Drosophila melanogaster: one gene and its partner. The protein of the gene in region 2 purifies or fractionates together with the protein of the main gene of each other region. This does not show direct contact. Each region holds a gene or a part of one and is shown on either strand. Other genes may lie near its edges. The genes, in order: dmrt99B and Pgam5.

Evidence for each region.
Region 1: the proteins of Pgam5 (region 2) and dmrt99B purify together in Drosophila melanogaster (affinity purification with mass spectrometry, with the first as the bait; one large-scale study listed by BioGRID). This does not show direct contact.

What each region holds. Positions count from the first base shown.
Region 1 is NT_033777.3:29,690,851-29,697,827, reverse strand, and holds dmrt99B (doublesex-Mab related 99B), read right to left. Parts: upstream 5,238-6,977; 5' UTR 5,022-5,237; coding exon 4,875-5,021; intron 4,791-4,874; coding exon 4,689-4,790; intron 4,403-4,688; coding exon 3,991-4,402; intron 2,276-3,990; coding exon 1,404-2,275; 3' UTR 803-1,403; downstream 1-802.
Region 2 is NC_004354.4:1,871,596-1,875,095, forward strand, and holds Pgam5 (phosphoglycerate mutase 5), read right to left. Parts: upstream 1,971-3,500; 5' UTR 1,936-1,970; coding exon 1,378-1,935; intron 1,312-1,377; coding exon 1,000-1,311; 3' UTR 805-999; downstream 1-804. Other genes in the region: CG14803 (uncharacterized protein), read left to right, coding at 1-756; Vps26 (vacuolar protein sorting 26), read left to right, coding at 2,543-2,686, 2,766-3,500. UniProt on the Drosophila melanogaster protein: Displays phosphatase activity for serine/threonine residues, and dephosphorylates and activates Pk92B kinase. Has apparently no phosphoglycerate mutase activity.

The DNA of each region.
Region 1 (6,977 bases), on a different chromosome or scaffold from region 2:
ATAGTTTTGTAATTTGCACTCGGCATGTGTGTAACCGATATTATTGTGCCCGATGTGAGGGTGTGAGTCCTGCTCGTCCTGCGAGTCCTTGGGCCATTGTAGAACCACTGGCAATGTGCTGGTCATGTGTGTGGGTATTAGTTTTATTATAATTTTGTTTATCGTGCGACGTGTGTCCGAGTGGGGAAAACAAAAACAGTTCGAACCGCTTGTGTGTAAAAGGATTTCACACTTTTCCGCACACAGCCCTGCCGAATAGTTTTCCCCGTCGATTTTCCGGGGTCTTGTGGCACTGCCCTCAAAATAGTGGCAAATAGATAATGATGATACGGATTAACGCTTCGCATTATTATTTGGCCATCGCGTGATGACCAGTTGGGAATTTTGAATTTCGAATCGTGGGTGGCCTCTATAATCGCAGTAGTTTCCTATTTGTATTTCAATTTCTTTGGGGTGCTTGTGGGCGGCCCATTGTTATCCGGTCGACTTCTCACGAATATACATTACGTGCTGTGAAAATTGTTTATTTACCCAGCTATGACCCGGACTAAGGGATTTCCGAACAATGGAAGTTTTGTATTAAATATCCTTATTTATTGATCTGATTAGTCAGGCATTTAGCGTAGGCCCAAACGATTTAATTGGAATGCATTATGCATTCATCAAAATAATTACACTATAATTGGGCTATTCAGCACATTCATCAGTACATTTGCAGACTGAAGATGTATCTTATCTATCTATCTATGCATGTAGGAAAAAAAAACACCAATATTCCCCGACAAAAAAATAGCATCGAATTAATTTCTTCATTATTTTATTGAATTATTTGTAGATTTATTAAATACTTTAACACAGTGTTTGAAATGTACTTTATCTAAGACATAATATGATGTTTAATATAATTATATATATGCTCATATTCATATGGTACACACGGATATCTCAATTAGTTGGTTGCAATCAACAATCGCTTACACAATAATCTCATCATCGTCATAATGTTAATTTCAGCTAAACAAATACTTCTTATAACTGGGATCGAGTGTATGGTTTTTCTTAAGTTTTAATTCATTAAACGTATTATTTACTTATACGGTCTCTATGTTACAATACTTGTGCTAAGAGTCGAGGGCAAATGTAATTTACACTTAGTTGCGGGACGTGCACTGCGAGAAACAGTTGCTCAAAAATCAAGAAAGTTCTTTCTGCAATGAAAAACTTCTATGGTTTCAGCTGACTGAAAATATTATAAAAACAAACGAGAGCTCTAAAACTCATTGAAGTTAAGAATTGTGTTCTTGACTCGTAAAGTGTTCACATTTTTCCGCAGTGTAGCAGGGGTGGGAACCTTATTCGAAAGGCCTGAAGACGGATGCGCCGCTGGCCTCCACCTCGATGCCTCAATCCTGGGAGTCGCCAGCATTGCTGGTGCGATCCAACCCTATGCCGCCCGCTCCGTTGGACTCGGATTGCTCGATATCCGCCGCACTGAGCACTCCCGGAAGGTAGCCGGTTCCGGCGTAGGGAGCAGTCAGGAATCGCTTGGCGTGCGCCTGCATGAAGGGATGGTAGCGATGGGTGGGGGAGCCGAAAACCGAGGGCGGCACCAGCGGGGAGAAGGCGGACTTCATGGGAAAGGGCGGCGATGGCGGCACCTGCGGCGGAGTCTGTCCCAAATCCTCGCCAGCCAGCATGCACTCCATGGCCTGGAGCACGTCGCCACGGAACCGCTGCATCAGCTGCTCCACATCGCTGCGCCGTCGGTTGGGGAACACCCTCATCAGGACGTCGATGGGCGATCTCTGCTGCTGTTGCTGCTGCTGCTGCTGTTGCTGGTGGTGCTGTGGCAGGTGGTTCTGCTGCTGCTGCTGCTGCTGTTGCTGCTGCTGGTGGTGCGGCGAGTGTGCCGCTGGGTGGTGGTGGGCGGGCAGGCCGGCGGCGGCCAGGAACTGCGTGTGGTGATATGGCAGGAAGCCCTGGGCATGACTGCTGCTGAAGGATCGCAGCAGATGAAGATTCTCGGCGGGCGTGTTGGGCGGCGACTGGCTGTCCTCCTTCTTGAGACTGAGATTCTCCGGCGTGGCCTCATCCGGCGCCGAATCCACGTCCAGATCCGATTCCGGCGAGCTGGGCGGTCCAGTGCGGGCGGGCGACAAGCTGGCGGTCAGATTGAACAGTCCGGCGACCTTGGGCCGGGGACTACTCGGCGATCCGGACTCGGAGCCCGTGTCCTGGTCGGTCTCGTTCGACAGGGCTGCTCCGCGCTTGGACACTGCAAGCAAGGAATACAATGAAGGTATATACAGATTAGTCGCCAGTTGATATGTAAATGCATTAAGAGTAGTATCTTGTAATAGTTCTCCTACGAGAGTGTGTACTTCCTATTGAGCAATTGTTTTTCCCAAAATCGCAGGTATCGATTTCCATCGACGAAGCGATTCAGGTAGCCAGTGGAAAACCGCACAGTTTCCACTTGGCAGCTTAGAGCAAATAAAAGTATCAAGTGTAGAGATGGGAAGGAATTTAATCAGGGGCATCGCAAACAAAGGCGGTGGAAGGAGCAGGGAGTTCAGGATGCGATGTTGACATGCCAACGAGGGACAACCTGCTGTTTTTTTCCACAAATGAAACAAGCTATATGATATTTTTGTGCGAGTCTGTTTAATTTTGCAGTTGACGAAGCCGCAGTAAAAATTTAATTAAGTCGAGGGTGCGTGGATACCAATACCCAACTCGAATGCCGCACTCTTTAGTCGAAAATAAAAATTCAAGCGTGAAATCGTCTTGGATTTCATGGCAAATAATAGAGTCCGGTACTTAAATAGACAGGTTTTCCCGATTGATTCGCGTGAGAATCCTGCTGTGTTTTTCTTTCTCGAGCTGGAAAAAACCACTTCCTCCGAAAGGGCAAACAAATAAAGACAAGTGAGCTGAGTCAGGGGGGGTATCTCACGTTTCTGGCCTGCCAGAACCCTTGGCATGGGGTTACCTTATGGGTAATAACCCCCATCTGCACAGCCGATAGTCCTAATAAGCAGGCGGGGTCGAAGGTCCTTTCAAATTCTCGACAGACTTGCAACTGTTTGGCGTTTAATGGGCCAGTGGTTTGAGTTGCGATGGCAGGGCAATCTGAGATGATCTGGTTGGAATTGATTGGCTTATTTCGGATAATAACAAATAATGTTGGATAATGTTACAATAACTTTTATTGTTCAGCTATTGAGAGGGTTTTTTTGTGGGAAAAAGAGTAAAATTCTAGCACACAAGTGTTTTGAGACGACCAGCATTTCAGAGTTTGCCATTTGATATTATATGATGTAATGGAACATTTTTGTCGGAAATTTCAAGTTATTTGCCTTTAAAACCTTCCCTGAAATGAGCACCACGTTAAATCAAGTGTTTTCCTCCTAACGAGGACTTTAACTCGATTGTTGCAATTTGCGCCCCTTGATGTCCTGGCCTGGCTGCAACCCCAGGACCTTTTCACGCGCCGCTTGGCAAAGTGCACGACTGCAGCTTGGCTGGCTAAGTCTTTGTCAAAACAACACCTATGCCCCGCTCACTAGCACCACTTCGCCACTTGCATACACGCAGCCAAATGCACATGCAACCGCGAGTGTGGCACTTTATGCACCGCTGATTTCTGAACAATCGAAAACAAATTTTTCTTAACGCGCTTTTAACCTGCCCTCCCCCAAGACTCTCAAGACCTCTTCTTGAGATGGCCAGGCGTGAATGGCTTCTTAAGCGGCTGCACTGCGCAAAATAAGTCAGTGTGTCCTTCGAAATGGAGTGTAATGGAAGTAATGCTATTTCATAAGCAGTAAACATTTGAAGAACTTCAAGGAAAACTGTTTTCTTGGTTTTAGAATAGATCTCAATTTATAAGATATGTGCTGTGATATTTGATGTTACTTCATTTCCCAAGTCACACAGTCACATATTCTCCCGGTGTTAGCTGTGTGCAGTATTCTTTACTTCACTCACCAGGACTCTCATCCAGCTCGGTTCTGGTGGGCGAGAAACCGACGCTGAGGTGCTCGGAACGGGTGCGTCCATCCGTGTCGGATTCATTGCCATTGAACCGCTGGGACTGCTGGTGTGGGTGGCTAAGGTGCTGTTGGTGGTGCGCCTGCTGCTGCTGCTGCGACTGCTGGTGATGATTGGGAGTGGAGCTGGCCTCGAAGCCGTCGCTGGGTGGCGAGGGAATCCCGCCGTGGAAGACGCCGTTCTGGCCCGATCCTCCGCTGCCCGAGCCGCCGCTGCCGCTGTGGTTGGGGCTGTGCGGAGTGGGCGTAGCACTGTCGCTGCCATTCTGCTGGCCAGGAACCGAAGTGTAGAGCAGGCCCAGCTCGCGGGCCTCGTTCTCTTCTTGGGCCTGTTGGCGTCGAAGGGCCACCTGCAACAAGGAGGGCATGGGCGGAAAGCGGATCTTTGATCAGTGGCGTGTAACAGGGAGATGCATTAATATTACTATGATTTTTAACTGAAGTCAACAGAGGAGTTTTGCAATTTTGAAGTAGTACTTGATTTCCATGCTATACTATAAAAAAAAACCTGCTTTTAAGCATACATAGGTTCTCTTTAACTGAACTATATAGATGAATTCAGCAATCTTCTTCATTCTATAACATTTATTCCAATTCTTTCCACGTAATTCCTTCTATATTAAAGTAGAAACCCACCTGAGCAGCCATAACCCTTTGGCGTTCCGCGATTAGAGTGCATTTGGCGCAGACGCAATCCCGCCAGCGGCAGTAGCGTTTGTGTCCCTTCAAGGCGCTGACCTGCAAAAGGTTCGAAATGGAAAGGGGATCCAGTGGGTAAAGAAAATCTCCAGATGCCGGATGGTATATGACCGAGGGACCTACCACTCCGTGGTTCCTGCAGCGGGCGCACTTGGGCGTCCTTTGGTAGCGTTCCGAGGCGGCTCGCAAGAAGAAAGCAGGTGGCAGTGCTCCCAAGACCGGATGCTGGGACATCAGATTCTGCATGTCCACACCCGACGGTAGACTCATTTCGACGTGAAGATCAGAAACCTCGATGTGGATTTAGTTGTTAGGTCAAAAACTTCTGAGCACACACTTCACTTTAGCTTATTTGATTAGTATTTAATTGTTTGTTGTTAGCTTGTAGTTTGATTGTTTTATTGTTTAACTATTTATATCCGCATAGTTCTCGAATTCAATCCACGCGCGCTAACGACATGACACAGTGAGCCCTCGATTGCAACTGATTCAACTTTTGGCCAAAAGGCCGCAGCGCACGACGCTCGACGTCGGACGTTCAGCAATGGCGGCAAGCGGCAACATTTACCAATACAAAAGCGGCTGACGAGGGTTGAAAGTGCGCGGATACGCTCGTGGGCATGTACATGCAAACTGGATATAGGGGATATATCCCCGATTCCGAGAGTGTTGCAACCACCTTTGTGCGCCGCAGCTGCCTGCGTCGGCGTCGCTGCCTGCGCCAACGGCGACGCCGGCTGCGACGGCGGAGGGTTGGCAATTAAGAAAAAAGTTTCAAATCTAATTTGGTACTGTATACAAAATTGTGCACTCGAGGCGGCGACGCGGCGTATGAGTAATGTGGCGGGAGAGCACTCCGCACTGGTTGGTTCTCAAAGGGAATTGCCATGGTAGTGGTGGTGGTGGTGGTGGTGGTGGTGCTTCGGTGGTGTGGTGCTGTTCTGGTGGTTGTTTGGGGTTTCTTTCATTTTCTTTGTTGCCTTTGTTTCACAATTATTTTTTATGCCGCTCTTCAGCTGCTCAACTGCTCAGCGGCTTGCTGTGTGCGTGAGCGCTTGGGGCTCTCGGCTTTTGGGCTAATGGAATAGCCAACCAAAAGCGTTGTTGTTGCGACCTCGCCGCTGGTTGGCATGGCCAACACACACACACACACATACAAACACACTCAACTGACACAGTTGGCAGCGCAGTTGTTGCTTTTCGAGGGGTTTTGGGGGGATATCTAAAATTCCCAGGCCCCTGTTTTTGAAAAACTAAAGTTTCTACCTTAGGTTGTGGCACATCGCCACTTGCTTTTCATTTCCAGCTGCCGCTGTTCAAATGTCTCAAGTGTTGAAATCTCCATGAACAAAATTGACAAACAGAGGCATAATAATTACTTATTTACAGCTGCATAAAAGTATAGACATGAGATGATATGTTAAACAAGAAACAAACCATAAAGATAGGTATTTAACAGAAAATCATAACGTATATTAACTTTTATAGCGTTTAAAAGGATATACAATGTGATATCAATTTGCTACTTTAATCTATTTAAAAGAACAAAACCCATTTTACATAAAGAGTCCTTTACATAATGTGCCGCATATCCCGCTGCGTCGGAATGAGAGTTTTCGTTAGGTAATTTTTAACTTTTTTTTGGCCAGTGGGTTGGGTCTATTGGCCTATTGGAATGTTACAAAATAATTGCAATTGAAACAAACTGAGCACTCGTGCTGAGCGAGCGAGACAGCCGCGTCTGCGAAAGAGGCAGCTGCGCGCGCCTCTCTCTCTCTCTCTCTGACGTTCTTCGTTTCTCCGAGAGATGTTCGCTCTCTCGCGCGGAGACTCCGCCCACGAAAAGAGGAGGAGCCATAGGACTCACGCACACGCTGTAGAAATAGAAGAACATAAAGCGGCAACAATGTTGTACAAGTTGACCAAAAGAAACAAGTTTCCAGTCTGTCTGTGTCGGTGTTTGCGCGCGTGTGCTTGTGTGCGAGTTGCCTAAGGACCTCTACACACACACACACGCACACACACACTGGGAAATAGGGGGCAGTTCCAGTTCCGCTGGCATCGTCTTTTTGGGCAGGTCACAGTTGTTGGCAACAGTAAATGGCCAGAAGCTGCTGCTGCTGCTGTTACCGTGGAGCTACTGGTGTTTTGCGCAGGGCCAATTTCTCGCATTTTAACTTTGTTTAAAGTGCGCCTATGTACACACACTCACATCTACACACAAAC
Region 2 (3,500 bases):
ACCACGCAGTTGCAGGCAGGAGTGCCGCCCGAAGGTCGCCTTCCACAAGTGGTTCACAAGATTTTCCCAGTGTTGCTGCAAGGCATTGGTCGACTGCCTTACCGCACGGACGCATACGTGGCCAAGACTTTGGAGCAACTAGTTCAGCACTGGACGCCGCACTTTAGCTTCTCATCCAACGCCAAGCTGGTGGCCCGTCCATATGCCACCCTCCTCCAGGCGGATGTAGATGGAGAGCTGGCGCAGTTTGTGCTTCAGCTCCTCGTTACCCAGTTTTTGGTGGTCCAGCGGCGGAGGGCAGGACAGCATGCGGGCTTGGTGATCACTATAATGCAGCAACTGATAGAGAGCACTGGCAAAGAGCAGGAAGAACAGCTGCTAACCGTTTTGCGCGGCGTGCACATCCCGCTGCTGGAACACGTAATGTTCGTGGACGAAGTGGACCTCAGTCGCAACCAAGTGTTTGGACTTTATAAAGTGCTTATATCGCACGATGCCTACAAGCGATCACAGGCGGTCAGGGATATGTGCTCCAATCACTTGCGATCCCTCGCCGAAAAGCACCTGGCCCACTGCACTTACTTTTACTTCCAGATGCTGATCAACCTGGCAGAGCTGGCGCCGGATCTAGTGGCTCCCATCCTATCCTTTATAAGGGAGCAGGCAGAGCAGGTGGAGCTAAAACGCGGCGCTGGAGAAGATGTGGGCATACGCAAGTGCTTGCAGCGACTCCAAAAGGTCTTGAGCAGGGTTTAGGCTCCTCATGGCTTCTTTTGTACATATAAGGATTCTCAATAAAATGTTAGGCATTCTATAAAATCTTTATTATTTCAGTCGGAAGATTCAATGATTCCTCCTTAAGAGATATACGTTACGGTGCGGCAAAATGTACATGGTGGTTTACACAGTCTCGCGATCTGTGCTCAAGGTCTCAGTTAAAGTGTTGGAAATAAATACATTATGATTGCTTCTCCTTTGGGCAGTTCTATAAACAGACGGCTAAACCACGTTTTTGACGTCGCGCGGTATGCGATTGGTAAGCAGCTCGGCGGGCATAAAGCCGGAGTCGCCCAGGTACTTGATGGACACGTTGCCGGATGGACTGATGGTCAGCCAGGTGATGGAAGCGTGATTAATGTTAATCCGTAGCCAACCCTCGGCGGGGAACTGCAGGGCTCGGCAGACAAAGTAGCGGATCACGTTGCCGTGTCCCACGATCAGGGTATAGCTCTCCTTCTCTTGGTCGGGATAGGCGCGGTGGAAGTATCGGCGAAAGCCGGCCTCTATGCGCGATCCGTCGCGAAGGAACTGCTGCAGTGAAATGAAAGCCGAATATCATGTGGAATACGCACTGGGTTGACCCTTGACTTGACTTACAGATGCCTCCGGCTTCCAGTGGCCGACTGGCGGCTGGGGCGGAATAGGCGCTCCTTCACGCAGGAAGGCACAGTTCACCACTTTCTCTTTTTCGAAATCGATCTGCTTGAGAATAATATCGGAAGTCTCCTGGGCCCGCACCATTGTGGAGGCTACTACCTTGTCCCACTTGATGCCCAGCTCGCAGAGCCGTTTCCCAGTAAACTCCGCCTGCTTGCGGCCGCGCTCCGTGAGATGATGCGTGTCATCCGAGTCACCCACGTCCAGATACTCGCCATGCCGCACTAGGATAATGTGGCGCGCCTTCTTGGCCTTCGCCTTCTCAAGCTCCGCGTTGTAGCGGTTCTCCTCCTCCGGCTGGCTGTTTCGCAGTGGACGCACGAGGGCCCGTGGCTCCCGGCAATCCCAGTTGGTGTCCCAAAGGGCCCACGGATCCACCGGCTTATCACTGTGCGTCCACGAGTTCTGCACGACCGTCTGCGGGTCCCGCAGCCGCTGTAGGTAGTAAGCCGCCAGTCCGGCTCCTGTGCCGCACACGAAGCTAGTCAACTTTCGCATCGTTAGGGCTTTTAGGTATTTTCTTTAATTTTAGTTTTGTTCCGCTGAATAAGTGCGGTATTTAAATACTGCGATTTGGTATTTGACATACTAGGTTAGCGGGTATATAAATACCGCGCAAGACCATTTAGAATTCAACTATCGAAAAGTTACCAAGATGAATCAAAAATACGAAATATATTTACACAATTATTGTATACCAAGAAAATTAAGGATCCACAATCAATTGTTTCGTTAATTATTCCGTATGTGTTTCTTAAAGAAATACCATGCAAATACTGAATACTGAAAAGTACCAGCGCTGGCACTCCTTAATAACAATCAGGTTGACGCGATATGGCAACGCCGTAGTGTGAAAAATTGCAATTTTTTTCATTTCACACACACAGACGCGACAGATACGCCAGCATCGGAACGAAGGACGTAAAAAGGCCGCAGAAAAACGCCTATCAAAGCTGAGGTTTATTGAAGGGGTTATCAGAAAGATATCTCTAGGAAAAGCCGCCAACAGGAGTCACAGCGTCGACATTCCATCGGAGCAGCAAGAAGCAGAGGCGGGGGCAATAAGAAACGGAAGAAGAAGAAGCCGATTCGACGTTTATCAATTATGAATTTCCTGGGATTCGGCCAGTCAGCGGACATTGAGATAGTCTTTGATGGAGCTGAGCACAAGACGGCAGAGGTTAAAGGGGAGGACGGCAAAGTGGAGAAGATGCTGCTATTCTACGACGGGGAGACGGTATCCGGCAAGGTGCGTCGTGGTCAGCATCGGGGGGAGTTCCCCCAAGCATAACCAGAGATAAACCCATATCCACCCCCTTTTCATCCAGGTGAACGTGACCCTCAAGAAGCCGGGCAGCAAGCTGGAGCACCAGGGCATTAAGATCGAATTCATTGGCCAGATCGAACTGTACTACGACCGGGGTAACCACCACGAATTCAAGTGTCTAGCGAAGGCCCTGGCCCGCCCGGGCGATCTCATCCAGAACAACAGCTATCCATTCGATTTCCCCAAAGTGGAGAAGCAATTCGAGGTGTACGCCGGCTCGAACGTGCGGTTGCGGTACTTCCTGCGCGCAACCATCGTCAGGCGGATCAGCGACATAACGAAGGAGGTCGACATCGCCGTGCACACACTGTGCAGCTACCCGGAGATGAACAACCCCATCAAGATGGAGGTAGGCATCGAAGACTGCCTGCACATCGAATTCGAGTATAACAAAAGCAAGTACCACCTGCGGGACACGATTATCGGCAAGATCTACTTCCTGTTGGTGCGCATTAAGATCAAGCACATGGAGATTGCGATCATCAAGAAGGAGAGCACGGGCACGGGCCCCACCATGTTTAACGAAAACGAAACGATTGCCAAGTACGAGATCATGGACGGAGCGCCCGTCAAAGGCGAGAGCATACCCATCCGGGTCTTTCTTGCTGGCTACAATCTCACGCCGACCATGCGGGACATTAACAAGAAGTTCTCAGTCAAGTATTTCCTCAACCTTGTGCTGATGGACACCGAGGACCGGCGCTACTTCAAACAACAGGAGATCACGCTGTGGCGC